Linked DNA regions of Caenorhabditis elegans. The protein of the gene in region 2 interacts with the protein of the main gene of each other region in a pairwise test. Each region holds a gene or a part of one and is shown on either strand. Other genes may lie near its edges. The genes, in order: ifa-1, clc-1 and F59C12.3.

What was found.
Region 1: the proteins of clc-1 (region 2) and ifa-1 interact in a two-hybrid assay, tested with the Caenorhabditis elegans proteins (one large-scale study listed by BioGRID).
Region 3: the proteins of clc-1 (region 2) and F59C12.3 interact in a two-hybrid assay, tested with the Caenorhabditis elegans proteins (one large-scale study listed by BioGRID).

The regions. Positions count from the first base shown.
Region 1 is NC_003284.9:11,271,151-11,276,051, forward strand, and holds ifa-1 (Intermediate filament protein A), read left to right. Parts: upstream 1-1,646; coding exon 1,647-1,755; intron 1,756-2,119; coding exon 2,120-2,191; intron 2,192-2,239; coding exon 2,240-2,403; intron 2,404-2,450; coding exon 2,451-2,564; intron 2,565-2,612; coding exon 2,613-2,710; intron 2,711-2,786; coding exon 2,787-3,646; intron 3,647-3,693; coding exon 3,694-3,833; intron 3,834-3,882; coding exon 3,883-4,101; intron 4,102-4,154; coding exon 4,155-4,193; 3' UTR 4,194-4,332; downstream 4,333-4,901. UniProt on the Caenorhabditis elegans protein: Cytoplasmic intermediate filaments make up the structural component of the cytoskeleton providing mechanical strength to cells.
Region 2 is NC_003284.9:11,045,729-11,049,901, reverse strand, and holds clc-1 (Claudin), read right to left. Parts: upstream 2,457-4,173; 5' UTR 2,293-2,456; intron 1,667-2,292; 5' UTR 1,660-1,666; coding exon 1,572-1,659; intron 1,521-1,571; coding exon 1,396-1,520; intron 1,351-1,395; coding exon 1,259-1,350; intron 1,212-1,258; coding exon 1,070-1,211; intron 834-1,069; coding exon 732-833; 3' UTR 627-731; downstream 1-626.
Region 3 is NC_003284.9:16,603,511-16,611,500, forward strand, and holds the start of F59C12.3 (Angiomotin_C domain-containing protein), read right to left. Parts: upstream 6,015-7,990; 5' UTR 6,010-6,014; coding exon 5,847-6,009; intron 5,797-5,846; coding exon 5,662-5,796; intron 5,595-5,661; coding exon 5,537-5,594; intron 5,367-5,536; exon of another isoform or gene 5,142-5,366; intron 5,030-5,141; coding exon 4,924-5,029; intron 4,880-4,923; coding exon 4,775-4,879; intron 4,730-4,774; coding exon 4,614-4,729; intron 3,857-4,613; coding exon 3,759-3,856; intron 3,640-3,758; coding exon 3,497-3,639; intron 2,546-3,496; coding exon 2,360-2,545; intron 1,858-2,359; coding exon 1,748-1,857; intron 1,647-1,747; coding exon 1,544-1,646; intron 1,293-1,543; exon of another isoform or gene 1,200-1,292; intron 994-1,199; coding exon 933-993; intron 799-932; coding exon 708-798; intron 642-707; coding exon 582-641; intron 305-581; coding exon 193-304; 3' UTR 1-192.

The DNA.
Region 1 (4,901 bases), 230 kb from region 2:
CAGAGAAAACTGTTTATCTTCCCATTTTTCCAGAAACTCGTTCAAACGGATACTTCTCTCAGTGAGAAGCGGTACCTAACCAATCAACATTTCAAAAATGATGGAGATTACCAGAGAAAGTGAGTTTCTTCATTTTAACTACTTAAATTATTCCGATGACTTTCCAGGAGGTGAGTTGCGGAATGTTTGCCTTTGTATTTCGCGGTAAGGTGCTTACCATAGACTAACAAATCTAACTGATCAGCGATTGAAAATTCAAAACTTTGAAAAAATAACATTACAGGCATGCGTTTTTTAAAGAAAAAAGATTAATGAAACAGTGAGATAAGACGGAGTGCAAGATGAACAAGCACATCGGTAAATAAGAGGCTCGTTTCTTGTGCCTTGTCGCAATTTTTTATTGAGATATCTTTCCGATTGTCATTGAAGCATCACATTTATCCGCATAGGCTTATCTTATACTAGTGAATATTTTTGCAACTAGATCCTACTACTTTTTTATATAAAAATGTACACTACTACTCGTCCGGGTAAGTAACTGGCTGAAAATTGCATTCACTTCGGCAAAATAAATTATCTAACAGGAGTTTATTTACAAAAACTTGGTAGATCATTTCTGAATGTATATATAGTTTAAAAAACATCACTTTTTTTTAGACCTGAGCAATTTAAATACTCTTGCTAATATAAAACACCGTGTTTGCTGAAAAAATACAGTGTTTTACATAGTTAAAGCTCAATCCGTTGCTTGAATTTCATTTAAACGAATCCATATTCAATCTTGAAAGTGACAGAAGTAGAATAGGAGTGTTCCCAGATTTAATCGCTTTTGTGAAAACCAGACAACTAACACATATTCTCGCAACTTATATATGTAGGTGTTTCTAAACTTTTTCAAACATATTTGCACCGTTATTCCATTTGAACTAGTCATCAATCAATAAACTACTCGTGAGTACTCAAAGTTAATTCAAGGCTAATTTTCTTCTCACTTCAAATTTTTGAACAATTTTGTACAAACATATATTCCGAGGCGTTGTCTAGTTTTTGTCTCCTCTTCCACAAAAGTGCGTAGGCACGGTAGCAAATTGAAATGAATCACCTCAACCCAAAAAAATCTCAAATGTCATTTCGCACTTTAGCAAAGCCTCGAAACGTATGAATTTATGCAAAAACGCATGTCCAATAGGCGAAAAAAGTAGAATCGAGAGGAATCGTAACGACGTAAGGGTTGACTGAGTTGAGGATGAGATGATTTTTGGAGGACGCGCCCATCCCTCACACCTATTCTTTTTTCCGCATTCGCGCCAGATATCAAGAAGCCGCCGTTCCGTCCTCACTTCACACCCATTTTAAAGTGATTCTTGACGCCTCCCTTTGCAAAAAAATTCCAAACACCGACTTGAATCAATATAAATATACATAGGCAAACAACTATGATCTCATTTCCTTTCGTGGAAAAGGGCAATAATAATATTTGATTGAGTTTTCTATTTCTCCTCATAGATTTTCATAGGTTACTCATAGGTTTTTTTCTCTTTATACAACAGTCTAGAATACTGAAATATATTAATTTTGCATTGCCTGTTTTGTTCTGCCGCCATGTATAAAAAGAGTTGAGGAACAAAAAATTTCATTTTCTGACTATGGAAGGTTATATTGTTTCTCTTCCATCTTCGCGACGATCAAGCGCTTCTAGCGCTCGAAGCGAGCAAAGTTCCACACGAACTGTCAATTACGAAGTGATTGAAAAGAGTAAGCCTTTCTTGTGCCCTCAATTTCAACTAACTCAAAAAATTGCAATTTTCGTTTAATCCCTTTTGTCTACATGCTATTATCATTAGTGTGGGAGGAAGCTGCGGTTGGTAGCAATGAAGGAGGAGGAGTAGAAAATGTTGAATAAAAAGTGAGGAGCAGTGCAAGAAATTTGACGCCCACCTAGTTTGCGCACCGTTGAGACTCCGCTTTTGTCTCTACAGTCAGCCTCCGACTAATTCCTTGGTCACACATTACGGCAGTCAGGGGTTGCCATACAACTCACAACCTCATTTTGAAATTTCGAAGCTGCCGAGTACAGTCGGCCCTTTTCACTTTCACAATAGAAATTTACGATTTGCAGCGATGTCTTTCACTTCCACAACACCTTCAGCTAGAGCTCCGCTCGGAGGGCGTACAACCGGAAACGTTACTTGTAAGTTTATTGTTGTCTGTGCAAAACATTTAAATCAACATATTCCAGCCCAAGATCGTATGCTCAAAATTGTGACCGAGATGCGCTCAGGTGCTGGATCCGGCTTGTCGCCATTTGGACAAAATGCTGCATCAACCATCCGTGACTCTCGTGAACGTGAGAAGAAAGAAATGAGCGATTTGAACGATCGACTTGCTAGCTACATCGAAAAGGTGTGTAATAGGAATAAGATGGACCACACCCAATAGTTGTTTTTTAGGTCCGTTTCCTAGAAGCCCAGAATAGAAAATTGGCAGCCGATCTTGACGCACTTCGTTCCAAATGGGGAAAAGACACGCACAACATTCGTAATATGTATGAGGGAGAACTTGTGGTAGGAAAATACAGAAAGGAAACTTTTGGTTAGAAAACTATATTATAGGATGCTCAAAAGCTGATTGATGAAACCAATAAGCAACGCAAGGATATGGAAGGTCAACTCAAGAAGATGCAAGATGAACTCGCTGAGATGCGCAGAAAGTACGAACATATGTTTTGAAAATTATGAACAGCATATTACCGTTATTATACTTTTTCTACAAAATGTATTTTTCAGATTGGAAGATGCCACCAAGGGCCGTGAACAGGATCGCGCTAAGATCGACGCACTTCTAGTAACCCTTTCTAATCTTGAAGCTGAAATTAGCCTTCTGAAACGTCGTATTGCTCAGCTTGAGGATGAGGTGAAGCGGATCAAGCAAGAGAATCAGCGTTTGCTTTCTGAGCTTCAAAGAGCCCGTACCGACTTGGATCAAGAAACCCTCAATCGTATTGACTACCAAAACCAAGTTCAAACTCTTCTTGAGGAGATTGATTTCTTGCGTCGTGTCCATGACAATGAGATCAAGGAGCTTCAAACTTTGGCTTCTCGTGATACTACTCCAGAAAACCGCGAGTTCTTCAAGAACGAACTCTCCTCGGCTATTCGTGACATCCGTGAGGAATATGACCAAGTCAACAACGTTCACCGTAATGACATGGAATCCTGGTATCGTCTTAAGGTCCAAGAGATCCAAACGCAGTCTGCCAGACAGAACATGGAACAAGGGTATGCCAAAGAAGAAGTCAAAAGACTCCGCACCCAACTCAGCGATTTGCGTGGAAAGCTCGCTGATCTTGAAAGCCGCAACTCTCTCCTCGAGAAACAAATTCAAGAGCTCAACTACCAATTGGAAGATGATCAGAGATCTTATGAAGCAGCCCTCAACGACAGAGATTCCCAAATCCGCAAAATGCGTGAGGAATGCCAAGCCCTTATGGTCGAATTGCAAATGCTCCTGGATACCAAACAAACTTTGGATGCCGAAATCGCCATCTACAGAAAGATGCTCGAAGGAGAAGAGAACCGTGCTGGACTCAAGCAACTTGTCGAACAGGTTGTCAAGACCCATGCTATCACACAGGAAACCGATACCGGTAGCAGAAAGACAATTTTTTCCATTAAAACATACATCCTTTTTCAGAGACGATGAGAGTCGTCAAGGGCGAAACTGCATCCCGTCAATCGTTCCAGCGTTCTGCAAAGGGAAATGTTTCTATCCACGAGGCATCGCCGGATGGAAAGTTCATCGTCCTCCAGAACACACATCGTGCCAAGGACGAGGTAGGAACTTGAATCACAACAGTTTCAAATATTTTTTGTTCTCTTTCAGGCTATCGGTGAGTGGAAGTTGAAGAGACGTATCGACGGAAAACGTGAGAATGTCTACACGCTTCCAAGAGACTTTGTCCTTCGTGCCGGAAAGACCCTCAAAATCTTCGCCCGTAACCAAGGAGTTGCCTCACCACCAGATCAATTGGTCTATGATGCTGAAGACTCGTTCGGAAGCGGAAACAACGTCCAAACCATCCTCTTCAACAAAGAAGGAGAGGTGAGATCAACAATTAAATGTCATTATATTTACAACATTGATATTAATTTCAGGAACGTGCTACCCACATCCAACGCCAGAGCACTGCCTAATCAGGCGACTTCCCAACAATTAACTAGATATTGTGACAATTTCTTGTTGAAAATCCCAAAATCTTCTTCCCATTTTGTAACTTTCATGCTGATTTCTGCGCATTTATTTGACCTTATTTCAATAAATCATTTATCATTCAAACATCAAAAAAAAATTTGATCACAATGTATTTGCGTAGGTTATTTTCATAGAACAGATGATGTAAAATTCTCAAAATCGTCGGAATTCGCCCACCTGAAATGGAAGCGTATGTTTTTGGTTACTAATCAATAGAGCTGAACGAAATGCCGTAAATAATTGTATATCGGCGAGATGAGCCGACGTCGACATCTAAAACTCGCGTTACTGAGAAGTTTAAAGTGTTGTCCTTCTTAAAATTCCAGTTGCACGAATATAATGTTTTAAATTTTTAAATATAATTTTGAAGTAGGAGCGTATGCCAAACAAGGGAAAATATTTTGAAACTATGGTCACTGCGCTTGATTCGAGAAAATGAAGCTACTACAAAACTGTCTAGGGTTTTAACAAAATATTTTTCCGCTGGAATTGTTACCAAATACTTTTTCAGCGTTCCATCTAAAAGCACATCTATTGCATTTTTAAATGAGCTTTAAATTTGCACTGAGCACTACAGTTTGCTATATTATTTCAATAAAAAAATAGAAAGCGATTTTGAGATATGTATGCTTTTTGTGTTCTTCTGACTG
Region 2 (4,173 bases):
ACAAATTTTTAAATATGTTTATTTTAAAAAAATAGTGCAAAATAAAATAAAAACACATTTTTAATAAGCGGAATATGTATATTGTATATAGTCATATATTGAATTGTCAGTCAGTTGCTTTCACAGAAAAAACAACTTTTTAGAATTCATGTCACTATCTAAAGATTTTCACCAATCTTTACTTCTATCAAAATGTTTACAATGACTCACTTTTTCAACCTTTGTTGCACAATACATCTTTCAATTTTTGCTCAAACACTTGGCATTGTTACATTTCATCTAACATATTATGTTCCGAGTTCAACTAATGATCTTTCTCGCTGCGCGCGTTTTTCAAATTCTTAAGAAACTGTGAAATAATTGACTATGTTCTTTGACCGAGCCTCAGTAGTGATGCCTCCCACGCCGCAAACTTGGGAGCAACAAGTCGAAAAAAATCGACAAAAATTGCTCCTGATCTTCGTGACACGTCAGTGTGTCACTAAGAACAGACATATTCACATGTCTTACCACAGTTCAAAAGACCTTTTACAAACACAAAACCGTTACATTTTTTGCCGTCCCCATCTTGCCAGTCTTGTTTGCACTTTTTCAGTGTAGTTCGGCGTTAAATGCGAAAAACCAAGTTCAAAATCTTACAAAGCTTTAACAAATAGATTGGTGCCGACGTCTGGGCTGAGCAGTTTATATCACAGAAAATGCAGGGAAATAATAAATATAATCAAGTTTAATTAACAGCAGTGTTCCCCAAGACACACTGTTAGTGCTCCCAAAATGACATCCGCCGCAGATAAGATGAGGGCTCCAACTGCAAGCCAAAACGAGTATCCAAGCTGAAAAATTAAGTTGTGAGTTTGTACAAACAAAGGTTTATGAGCAGCTTTTGCGCCTTAGGGTATGTGCAGATTGGCCAAAAAGTTGTTCAATGTGAGATAGGGAGGGTTTCTCAAAGCTTTATAATCGGGTTTTAAAGGGTTAGAACATGTGTAAAAAAAGAGTTTTAGTGAAGTTTAATAGTTTCAATCAAATAATTTTACACTTTTTCCCACATTAAGAATAGCATTCTCACCTGCGAGTTTGTATTAATTCCATTTGTAAATTGATTCCATTCAGCTGCATAAACAATAACAGCGATGAGCAGAAGAATAGTAGAGATGACTGCAAAGAGGGTGAGTGGATGGATGATATATTTCTTGCAGCAGCAGGCAAGGCTGAAAGTTGTTTGAATTATATTAATGTCGGCTTTCGCTAATCTAACCATGTCAAAAAGTTGTAGACAACTGCAAAAATTTGGACAATCAAAGAGAGGATCATGCAGACGACGACACATTTCATCCATCCTGGAAGATTCTGAAAACAGTATTTTTGAGCATATAAATAATTTCATCAACATACCGCCCACCAATCCTGACACTGGGTTCCCTGAGAGTGACCAATACATGACCAAGGCATCAAGCCATTCCATTCAGATGTGTTGATATGAGTTATATCTTTCACATTATTTTCAACAGTATTCCAACCTGAGAGTTTGAAAATTCACTTTTTCTAACATCTCCAAAGATGAAACATACTTGGCGTAAACAAAGCAACTGCTGTTAAAATAGCACTACCAGCCATAATAAGTCCATAGAGAATTTGGGTGAGTCCGGAAAGACACATTGTGAACCTGAAACATATGGTTTTAATTTTAATATTTTTTTCAGAAGATTGACGGACAAAAAGTATTAAAAAAGTATGAAAACAATTTCTCCTAAATATGGAAATTTCTATTGACGACAGACAAACACATGGTGGCATCTATGCAACCACCTAGTTACGGAATGAGAATGCACTTCAATGTAAGAATGACGACAGCACAAAATACTAAAATAGCCTGCACATTTGACAACTATACATCTTAACCAAAATATGAAAATGATGAAATAAATGCTCAAAGTGGGCAGAAACAGTGTTTTTCTTATCGCCATTGCCAACTGGGCTGTAAAAGTTTGGGAGGGACACAGGAAGAAGTGATAAAACTAGATGCAAAAAGTCAAAACGGATTTTTTTAATTTTTGAATAGATTTTAGATACTCGGAGAGTGAAAAATAAAACAACAAACGTCGTTTGAAGCATTCAAAATATTTTCACAAAACCTGATGTATCAAGTTACATTACTAAAGGACCAATTTTGGAAGAAAATTTCACAACCCGAACTAGTTTTCAAGAAATAAGGAATGGCAACGTGCTATGTCACACAAACTGGAATGAAAAAAATGCTTCATAGATAAGATTGAACACTCAAATATTTACCTTAAATGTCGATGGGACGGCGTGAACTTGATAGAAAATATGAAAAATGTGTGTTATATACAAGAGTTAGGCTAGTTTTAAAGTAAAGAGGTGGAGAGAAATAAAGCGTTTGCTTGCTCGTATCAGTAGAACTCCTCGACACGTCATGTAACCGTTTTCGGTATGATTCAGTCAAGAGATAGACCAAAAAATAAAGTGTTGATAAGAAACTCAAGTTGGGCGTTGTAGAATTTTGAAAGTTGACATAGAGCCATTTCTTAATTTCTGTTAAAATTCTTTGTGAGTCAGCGAGTTTTGAGCAGATGGAAACGGTGATTAGTTCGTATAATCGTTATCAACTTACAGTCAGATGCTCAAATATTTCGACGAATTTTCCTATCATTTCAGCCAGTATCTTTCGTAGTTTTACAAAAGTGGAGTTTACGGTGAATCACGTATATGCGAACACAAAAGTGACGTGTTTTCATTTTTCAAAAACTTTTGTTTAGTAAGCTTCACTCAAAATGTTTTGAAACAAGCTTCAAACTTTCAAATGATTTTTTTGTGAATATTTAAAAAAAAAACTGATTTATTGGCAAGAAACAGGTGGTTTCAGCTAACTTTCTTTTTACGTCTGGAAATATAAAAAATTCGAAAACATTTTTATTTCGTGGAAATAATAATAACTTTAAATTGTTGGTTTTTTTTTGGTAAAGATTGGAAAATCAAAGCTAATTAATTTTCCAATCAGATCGTTAGCAAATTGTTCAAGATTTTTATCATACATGCCTGAACAATAATATTTACTAGAAGGTTATTTGATGTTTTAAATAACCAAAACAATAATGATAAACGGAATTTATGACTTGACATTTTTCAAAGTGTATCAGGTATGTGAAATAACCGAACCTTTAAAGGTGGAGTAGCACCAGTGGGGATTTCGTCTAAATGCACTTATAATGATCTAAAACAACCGAATATCATAAGAAAAAACTCCAACAAATTTTAGATGTTTTCTAGTTTCCGGTCAAAGTTTTGGCAAGTTGTCAAAATTTTGAAAAAAATGTGAGTTTTGAGGAAATCCATAACTATGTCGAATGTTCCGACTACTACAATATTCTATTACAAATAGTTAAAACAAAGTTACAGTATGATAAAAAATGTAGGAACAAACTTTTTTTGGTCGACTTCCGAAATTAGTTGCAAAAACTGAGTAATTTTCACATTTTGACAGTAAACAAAAAAAAAGTTTTCAAAAAAATTTTGAAACATTTTATTATGCTATTCGGTCATTTTGGAACCATAGGAATAGTTTTTCACTCTTTCCCTACTAGCGCTACTCCACCTTTAGGTTTTTTTGAGTTTGAAGACTACCAATGTCAATCTATAATACAAAAGAAGAATGTTGTCTATTTCAGCATGTTGCAAAAAACGTATGAAACTTGGAACATCGAGAATGCTCACGACACGGGTTCACGACGGGTTCACGACACTAATTGTGGATTTGTTTGTTTTGATGGACTTGAAATAAAACCAAAAAATTGAATTTCACAGTGAAAATTTCTGTAGTTATCAAAAAAACGCTGAAAACTGGACCAAATTATTTTAAAAAATTATAAAAATAAGCAATAGAAGCAACTTGGCAAAAATTAAAGGTTTAGCATAGCTTGGTTTCTCTCGAACGTTCCAATTTCCATAAATCCCTACTGAAAGAGTTTTGCTAATTCAAATTACGAAAATATCATATGTAGTAGATCTGTTCGATTTGGGTTTCCATTAATACAAAGTTCTCAAATTGCTAACTAAAAATGAGTAGGAATGAAAGTAAACAGAGAAACAGTTTCTTGGAACATATCCTCAAAAAACTTAATTTGAACAATTGAAGTAGTATTGCAAATATTT
Region 3 (7,990 bases), 5.6 Mb from region 2:
CTAAACTGGCTAAAAATTAAAAGAACAAAACTACATACAAATTGTATTAAGAGGAATGGACTTTGGAAACTTGAATTGAAAAATAAATTGAATTATGCATGTAACAGAAAGTAACAAAGAAGGAAAGTGTGTTGTTGGTAGCGTGTTTGTAAATAATAAATAGAATTTCGATGACTAGTGCATGAGGAATATTCAAGAAAATTGGTTATCCGCAAGTATTGACTTGTTATTGTTACTATTTTTGAACATATTGTAAGGAATTGGAGCAGTCGGTACAGGGTCGAATGATGATCCAGATGATGATCTGCAACTTTTTTTGTATAGTTTGTTACTTTTGAAGATGTTTATCGAATCGTAATAGATTCTGGAGCTAGTATTTTCAGCTTGACCTATGTGTGTTTCTAGAAAGTATTCAACTGAAAATTTTATACTCAAAAACTAACTTAAAAAGGAACTTACAATTAGAGAAAAGTTCAAGATTCACTGTAGTTTTGCTTTCGTTCAGAAAACTCAAATTTTGAGTACTTTTTGCAAAGTTTCCTAGGAAGAAAAAACAACGGTCTCATAATTTTTTGTCTCACCTCCGATGAAGAGAATTTTGCATCAACGAGCCCGATGAAGTTCTTGCATGTTCTGATAGCCTGGAATATGGGAATTAAGGAAATTATATTTGATTTATTTGAGCAATTAATAAAACTGCGTCTTACCCTCCAGTCACGCCCATTCGACCTTTTTTCTTCCTTTCCTGTATTTTCTGTCTAATTTCCTCCATTCTACTCAGTGCCTCGTCTCCGCTGTCTGGAAAAAAAGAAAAGAAATGAGAAAAAAAAGGAGAGAGGAAGAAGAGTGCTCTTTTCACATGCCAAAAGAAATGCAGTCGACGCTTCCCCCTTTGCCTTTCTTTTTTCCCGACTAGGGCTTCATATACTCACTTTTATCTACCATTGCTGCATATTTGTCCCGCTCCGACCTCAGTTCGTTGATGATCAGATCCTAAAATTTATCAATTATTCATCGAATATGCCCGTTGTAATTTGTGAGCTCATTTCAAAGTGTGTTTTCTGATGTTCTCTATAATAGAAATAAAGCTCATTTCTAGTATATCAAATATCAGAAACATTTTTATTTATTCTAGGCGCGATAATTAAATATACCAATCTAAAATTACTCTCTTGAATTAAACTCCCAAAGTTATTAGGCAAAAAGATTCTCCCCGGCCGGGAATTGAACCCGGGTCTCGCATGTGACAGACGCGGATACTCACCACTATACTACCGAGGACACGAAAGAGAGCGGTTGTTGAGGCTTTTATAAACTGGGTTTATGACCGAAAATTTAGTGCTATATAGTATATGTAACAATAAATTATGTTAATATGTATAAGGGGCAACTGGGAAACTTTAAACAATTTATTGAAAACATTTTCTGTGAGAAAACACGTAACCTTGAAAAGTAACGTCTCTATTTTTGAAAAGATCCCTTATAAATGTTTTCACTTGTTTTAAATTTTGTATAAAAAATTTAGCAGCAGTTCTTGCCTCACCTTTTCATAACTCTCCTCTTTCAATTTGTCCACCTGGGTTTCAAAGTTGTCAGTTATTGTTGCAAGAGTTGACTTCCGTTGCTCAGTTTTGTCACCGTGAGTTCTAAAAAAAGCTTTTTCAATTCTGCTCTCCATTTCCGTTTTCGGCTCAGTTCTTCAACAAACGAAGAGAATAAAAGAAGAGAGAAAGAAAAAAAAACAAACTTTCGCAAATCGTTCACCATTCTTTCGAGTTGCTGAATCTTGTCGTCTTTTGATTGAATGCTCTTTCGCATTCGAATAAGATCCTCTGTGCTGCCGGGAGTAGTGGTTCGCTGCAAAATTGATGATTATGCAAATGAGTAGTGGTTAGTAATTCCATGAGTAATTCTATAGATGTTCTGGCATGTTCTATTTCAGGGCTTATGTACTACTATGTACAAAGACGGCTTAGACGGCAATATCTAGGATAAGATTGTTATAGAAGATAAACTAATAATAATAGTTTATAATTTTAATTTCCAGTAAAAAAATTATGAGATGCTAGAAAAATTTTTAATTCTCCATTTTTTAATGGTATATATTAGAAAAATGATGACGCTCTTTAGACCCTCTGCAAACGTTTTCAAATGTACTAACCTATAGGCGTCCCATCTAATTTTCAGAAAAAAAATACTGAGACCGGTGCTGATCTATATCAATAAAACTTTCATTACCGGACATTTAACCCCATAATCGGGAACCGGTTCAAATGTTGTCGCCCCCCCCCCCCCTTTTCCTAGCACACCCCACATTACTTTCATTTACTACTATTTCTCTCCCTGTTTCGAGACAAACCTTAAGACTTCCAGTGAGTGATGTGTCTTTGTTCAATTGCATTCTTAGCTGAGTCTTCTCCATTTCCCACTGAGCCCGTTCCGACTCAACCATCTGATCCCTCCGATGTTGTTCTTCCCATACTTCGTTTAGTTGCTTTCGCAGCTCATCAGCGTGTGCCACTACAGCGGACAATTCTTCGCATTTCTAGAAAAAGTGTTTCTTATTGAATTTTAATTTCAAAAAAAAGATAACGTACTATCAAGAAAACAGTTTTGATTTGGGAGCTTTAAAAAATATTTTTAATGTAAGTTAAGAAAGCAAAAAACATTTTTTAGAGAAGTCCGGAAGTGCAAGGTATATTGCAAAGTTAAATTAAAATTTGAATTTCGCAATATTTTTTGAATATGAATGCAAAAGTAATGGTACATAACTATTTGAGTGCCTTTAAAATTACCTTGAAAATAGAAAAAAAATTGATAGACAAGTTCTGAATGTTTCTAAACACAGCACGTTTTCAATTGTTGTTTGTATCACATGGAAGTTTTTTTTCATTTCTTATTTTCCCACGTCAGTTTGCAAATTTTTTTCGCGTTTCACTTTTATTCATTATTATATCAATTGGAGTGTCTCATCAAAAACAAAAAAAATGAGACAACTGTTAAAAATCTATTTCAAGTAAAAATTGATTTCCGGCTAGTGAGACAATTTTTTATTTATTTTTGGGTTGTCTCGTTATGAAGTCATGTTGATCAAAATCCTTAAAAACCGAAAAAGTGGCCAAAGGTGACCAAACCTGGCCACCAATGGGCTCTAAATGTACCATAATCAACGAAGTGAGATCATAATTCAAAAACTTCAATTTCCGACTACTGCGACACGGTAAAATATTCTAAATTAGAGATTTTAGCTAACAGTCAGGAAAAAAAAATTTTAAATTTTTGGAGAAGTTTCATTACGAATTTCGTTCATTTGAAAACATTTTTAGTCTATATGTTCAGAAATTCTCCATATTCACAAAATACCCAAACAACTGTTCACTTTTATCAAAAGTACACTGTTGTGGTCCTATACTTTTGTTCTCCCCCCATTTTCCCATAAATAAATTGGAAATGTTATCCATTCCGCTCAGCACATTCTCCCACAAATATTCCATACTTTTTCCCGCTTCGCCAATCTCTCTTGTGAATTGGCGAGTGCCTTCTCAAGCATTGCAATATGATTTCGTTGCTCCTCCAACGTCTGATTCTGTGCCTCAATCTCCATTTTTTGCCGCTCTTTGCATGCGAAGAGTTCTTGCCCTGAATCGGAAAAAAATCAATTGTATAAGTATTTTATTCGTTTTTTTTTTCATATTTCTCATTCTGCTTCTCTGTTTCCAGTTCTATTGTATCAAATTTATTTCTTTTTTTCTCCTCACTCTGCTGAATTTCGTTTAACATCAGGTTCGCCACCATCGTTGGTTCAGTACTTGCTTTTTCCAGCCGCATTTGCAAGTCGTCTCTTTCGATGGTAAGTCTGAAACTAAGATTTTTAGAAGATAATGGATTTTCCTGTTGATTGGATGTTTGTTTGATATATTGCCGCTTGTCAGTTTTTTTTTTGGATAAACTTTTTAAAATAAAAATATTGTAAAATTTCAGAAAAATATGCCCGTGTAAAACTTTGTATGAAATAAGCTTTTTTTTGCTTACTCGGCATTTGGTTCTGGCTTCTTGCCCAACTTTGTCCTACAAAATATCAACATGGATTGGCGCAACTTGGCCAAAAGTTAGGCAAGACTTCGGCAAAAATTACACCAAAGTTCAACACAAGTTTCACCCAACTCTCGCCAGACTTCTACCAAAGTTTGAAACGAAACAAGAAAAGTTTGGGCCAAAGTTTGGCAAGAGTTGGGTTTAAAGTAGGGTAAGAGTAGAGTTCGGCTTTGGTTAAACTCTGGTGCAGTCTCAATCCTTTTTCTCAAGTTTAGCCAACTTCTAAGCCAAGTTAAGATTTTTTGGGCCAAACTTGGGCAAGTTGCAAGAGCCAAATGCGAAGAGTATTTTGCCCAAGTTTGTTTAATCAAATCATTATTGTTGTGAACTTCAATGATATTAGTTGTGTTCAATGTTTGTCTAGTTTGCCCCAAACAACAAAAAAGTGCTGCTCGTGAATTTTGTGAAATAGTTTTCAATTCATTTTTAAATGGAAACTTTTTTATATTGCCTTCATTAGATATAAATATCAGAAAATTGTTGTCTCTTTTTACCGACAAGATTTTCAACCAACTTACTTTTTTACAGACTTTTCCAATTGAATAATCACGTTCAGCTCTAAATTTTCTTGCTTTTTTCGTTCATTTGCCAAGTATTCGTATTCTTTTTCCAGTCGAGCATATGAGTATTCAATCTGCAAGCATTTAGGTTTCCCACTATTTTGAAACTTCCAACAAACCTGTTGTAGTTTTGAAAGACTGCGCTTGAAAGCGTCGAGCTCTTTTTTCAAGTGCACATTCTCCTCGCGGAGAATTTGAATGAGCTTCTGGTTGCTGGATACTCCCTAAAATAATTGTTTGTTTTGCTGTTGCTTGTTGAAGTTCTTACTCTGTTAGTTTGGCTCAATGTGGGGACGTCAAGTGCTTGATCTCCAGATGCAGATGCCCTACGCTGATAGGCAGATGTGCTCATTTTTGATTCATTTGGGGGAATACTGAAATTATTAATGTTTAAAAGAAGAAGGTCAAGCTTTTTTTTGTAAAAAAAATATCTCAGGAAAAATGTTGAGTTTGTCAAAAAAGTTTGTTTGTTTTTTGAAATGCAACTTGAAAGTAGGAAGTTTTAATTTTAGATAATCGTTTAGCTAAAAACCTGTGCGGAAGTTGTTTAAAAGTTTTTCCATACGAATATAGTGATTAAATATAAAAATGAAACTCTTGTTATAATTTTTGAATTTTTTATTCACAAAAAAAAAAGAGAGAAATCTAGCAATTTTTCAGTATTCGTCACTTACTACTTATTAAATTCACCAAAATGTTTTCTACGATTTTTATAATTTTATAAAATGAAAAAAAAAATGCTACAAATTTCCTTATTTAAAAAGTGTGGCTGAAATTAATGCATAGTGGGAAACACTGTGGATAAAGTTATTGATACATTCAAAAAAAATTTTACAGTTTACCGTATAACGTTTCAAAAACATCATAAAACCAATACTTACTCTGACGATCTTGATCCACTCGCAATAAGACATGGCTGAGAATGACTGATAGGTGATGCTGAAATAATATACTATTTTCATCAATCCACCAAAAACAGAAAAAAAACAAAAAATGTCACACGCACGTCCTGCACTTCCATGTAAATCCTTCCGGCTGTTTGCTCTTTGCATGTTCATTTCAAGCTGATATTTTTCGAGCATCTTCTGCAACCGCTTCTCGTCGTCATCCTTGCTTTTTGTTTGAGCCTGGTGGTTCATCACTGAAAAATAGTTTTTCGAATTGCAGGACCCCTGGTTCGATATTGCTCACCACTCGCTTTCAGACTTGGATTCAACTGAGCCTCCTTTAGAAGTGAGTCTAAAATGTTCGTCTCTCCCTGATACATGGGTGTCGGTGGCACTGCATGCACTCGTCGCTGATCCGATGATGTGCCATCCGACGAGCGCGGATCTATCACGTCCCCTCGATTCATTCACCCTGAGATTAGTTTCGATTAAATAGTGAATCATCAAGATTGAATGTAGAACGAGAAAAAAATAGGTGAGAAAAATTAGACATTTATTTGGGTGCTAATATGGCAATCATACCTAGAAATATTTAATCAATAACGTAATTCTCACGTGGTCATTTTTCAACTAAACTACATGAAGCTAATACTAACATGAATTTTAACTTCACATCTTGAATGAATGAATATTTTGAATGCAAATACAAACGTGGTGTCAGGCCCACGGTGTCAGGCATTACGGTTTCATCTACAAAAAATGCGGGAGTTTTTCAATCGAAAAAAAATTGACGCCAGCGCGTTCTTAACCGTGCAAAATCAGTTGAGAACTCTGCGTCTGAACTCCTGCATTTTTTGTAGGTCTACGTAGATCAAACCAAAATGAGACACATTGACGCCACAAGAATACATGAAAAAATGATACAAAATTATATGTATTCTGGAAAAAAATTAAACAAAACTAAACCATGAATATTGTTGCCAGTGCAACATGTTCCCAAATTTTACGAATGATAAGAAGACACTTCGTGAGCTAATACATACAATGTAGAAACATTTTCATTAGTTTAAAATTGAATTAAATCTAATTTGATAATATACCAATACTCTAAACTGTAAGACCAAACTAAAAGTGACAATTTCTGGTATAAGTCACAAATACTCAACAACAAAAAACTAACACAAACCCGTCTCGGGCGGTCAAACGCAGTTTCGATTAAACTACACTAAAAGGTTTCAAGTGACCTGACCCGAAATGCAAGTTCCTAATTATATAATTACACGCGTTCGTGTGGAAGACCTTCTTTCCAAAATCGTTTAGTTTAGTTCTGATTATCGCGGCTTATCCGTGTTAATCTCTGACGTGGTCGAAATCCAAAATGAAGAAACTTATGTTTTTGCTGTTTTTTCCAGTTTTTTTGTTTTTGAATCATGTGTACTGAACAACAAATGGGCAGGATGAAAAGCAAAATATGATGAAGCTAGCCGAAAACATAAACAATAGAAACAAAAACTTCGAAACAAAAATATGAGGAAAGAGAATATGTTTTATATGACGAATTTTTTTAAAACTATTTTGATATTTAATGTGTAGTTTTTCGTTTAATAATTTTAGGTATGGTATGTTTTGTATCAATTTTGCACCCCATGGTATTTTTCATGGATCTTCTATGATTCCCAGCGTCTTCAAAATGCTCGTATAATTTTGTTTCTAAATGTGCACATTTTTGTTTGAATCCTACGTAAATTCCAGTTTTGTATATTGAATTTCAAATATAAACAGTCAAAAAATGGTATTGCAAGAAATACTGCAATGAAAAACACAGTAGTTCTAGGAATTACGAACAAAAATTAATTCGTCGGTTTATCATCTTGTAGAATTGGATTTTTGACTTCTGATTTTTTTAAATATTTTAGAATCTTTTTCGATTTTACTTACTTACTTAGTTTTACCTAGTTTTATTTAGTTTTATTTGGTTTTATTTTATTTTTTCTTTGATACTGAGTTTTATCGAATTTTCACATAAATTGCTTTAAGTTTCCTTGAACAAATCATTTGAAAATCATCAAAAGTATTTTAGGATCATTTTATGCGTTAGTGATTATTGATTTAATATATGGGTTATTGAATAGAAAATGCCAATTTTTTGATTCTATGTGACAATTGGTTTCTTTCTTTGTGATAGCAAATTAAAAAAATATTTCAATGTCATAATAATTAACTAGAAGCTTCAATAATGAACTATGAATAGCATATAAGTTTGAAATCTATTGATAAAAGATTATCAACAAAAAAGAAAAGAGTTAAACCATGTAAAACTTTTAGTCAAGTGTTAGAAATGTGTTGATTGAGTAGCCCCTCTCGAGACGCGAGTAAGAAATCGATTGATCAACGATAGGTGGGAGGCAGTGCGCTGGGCCCTACGCTCACCATCGGCATCTCTGTGCA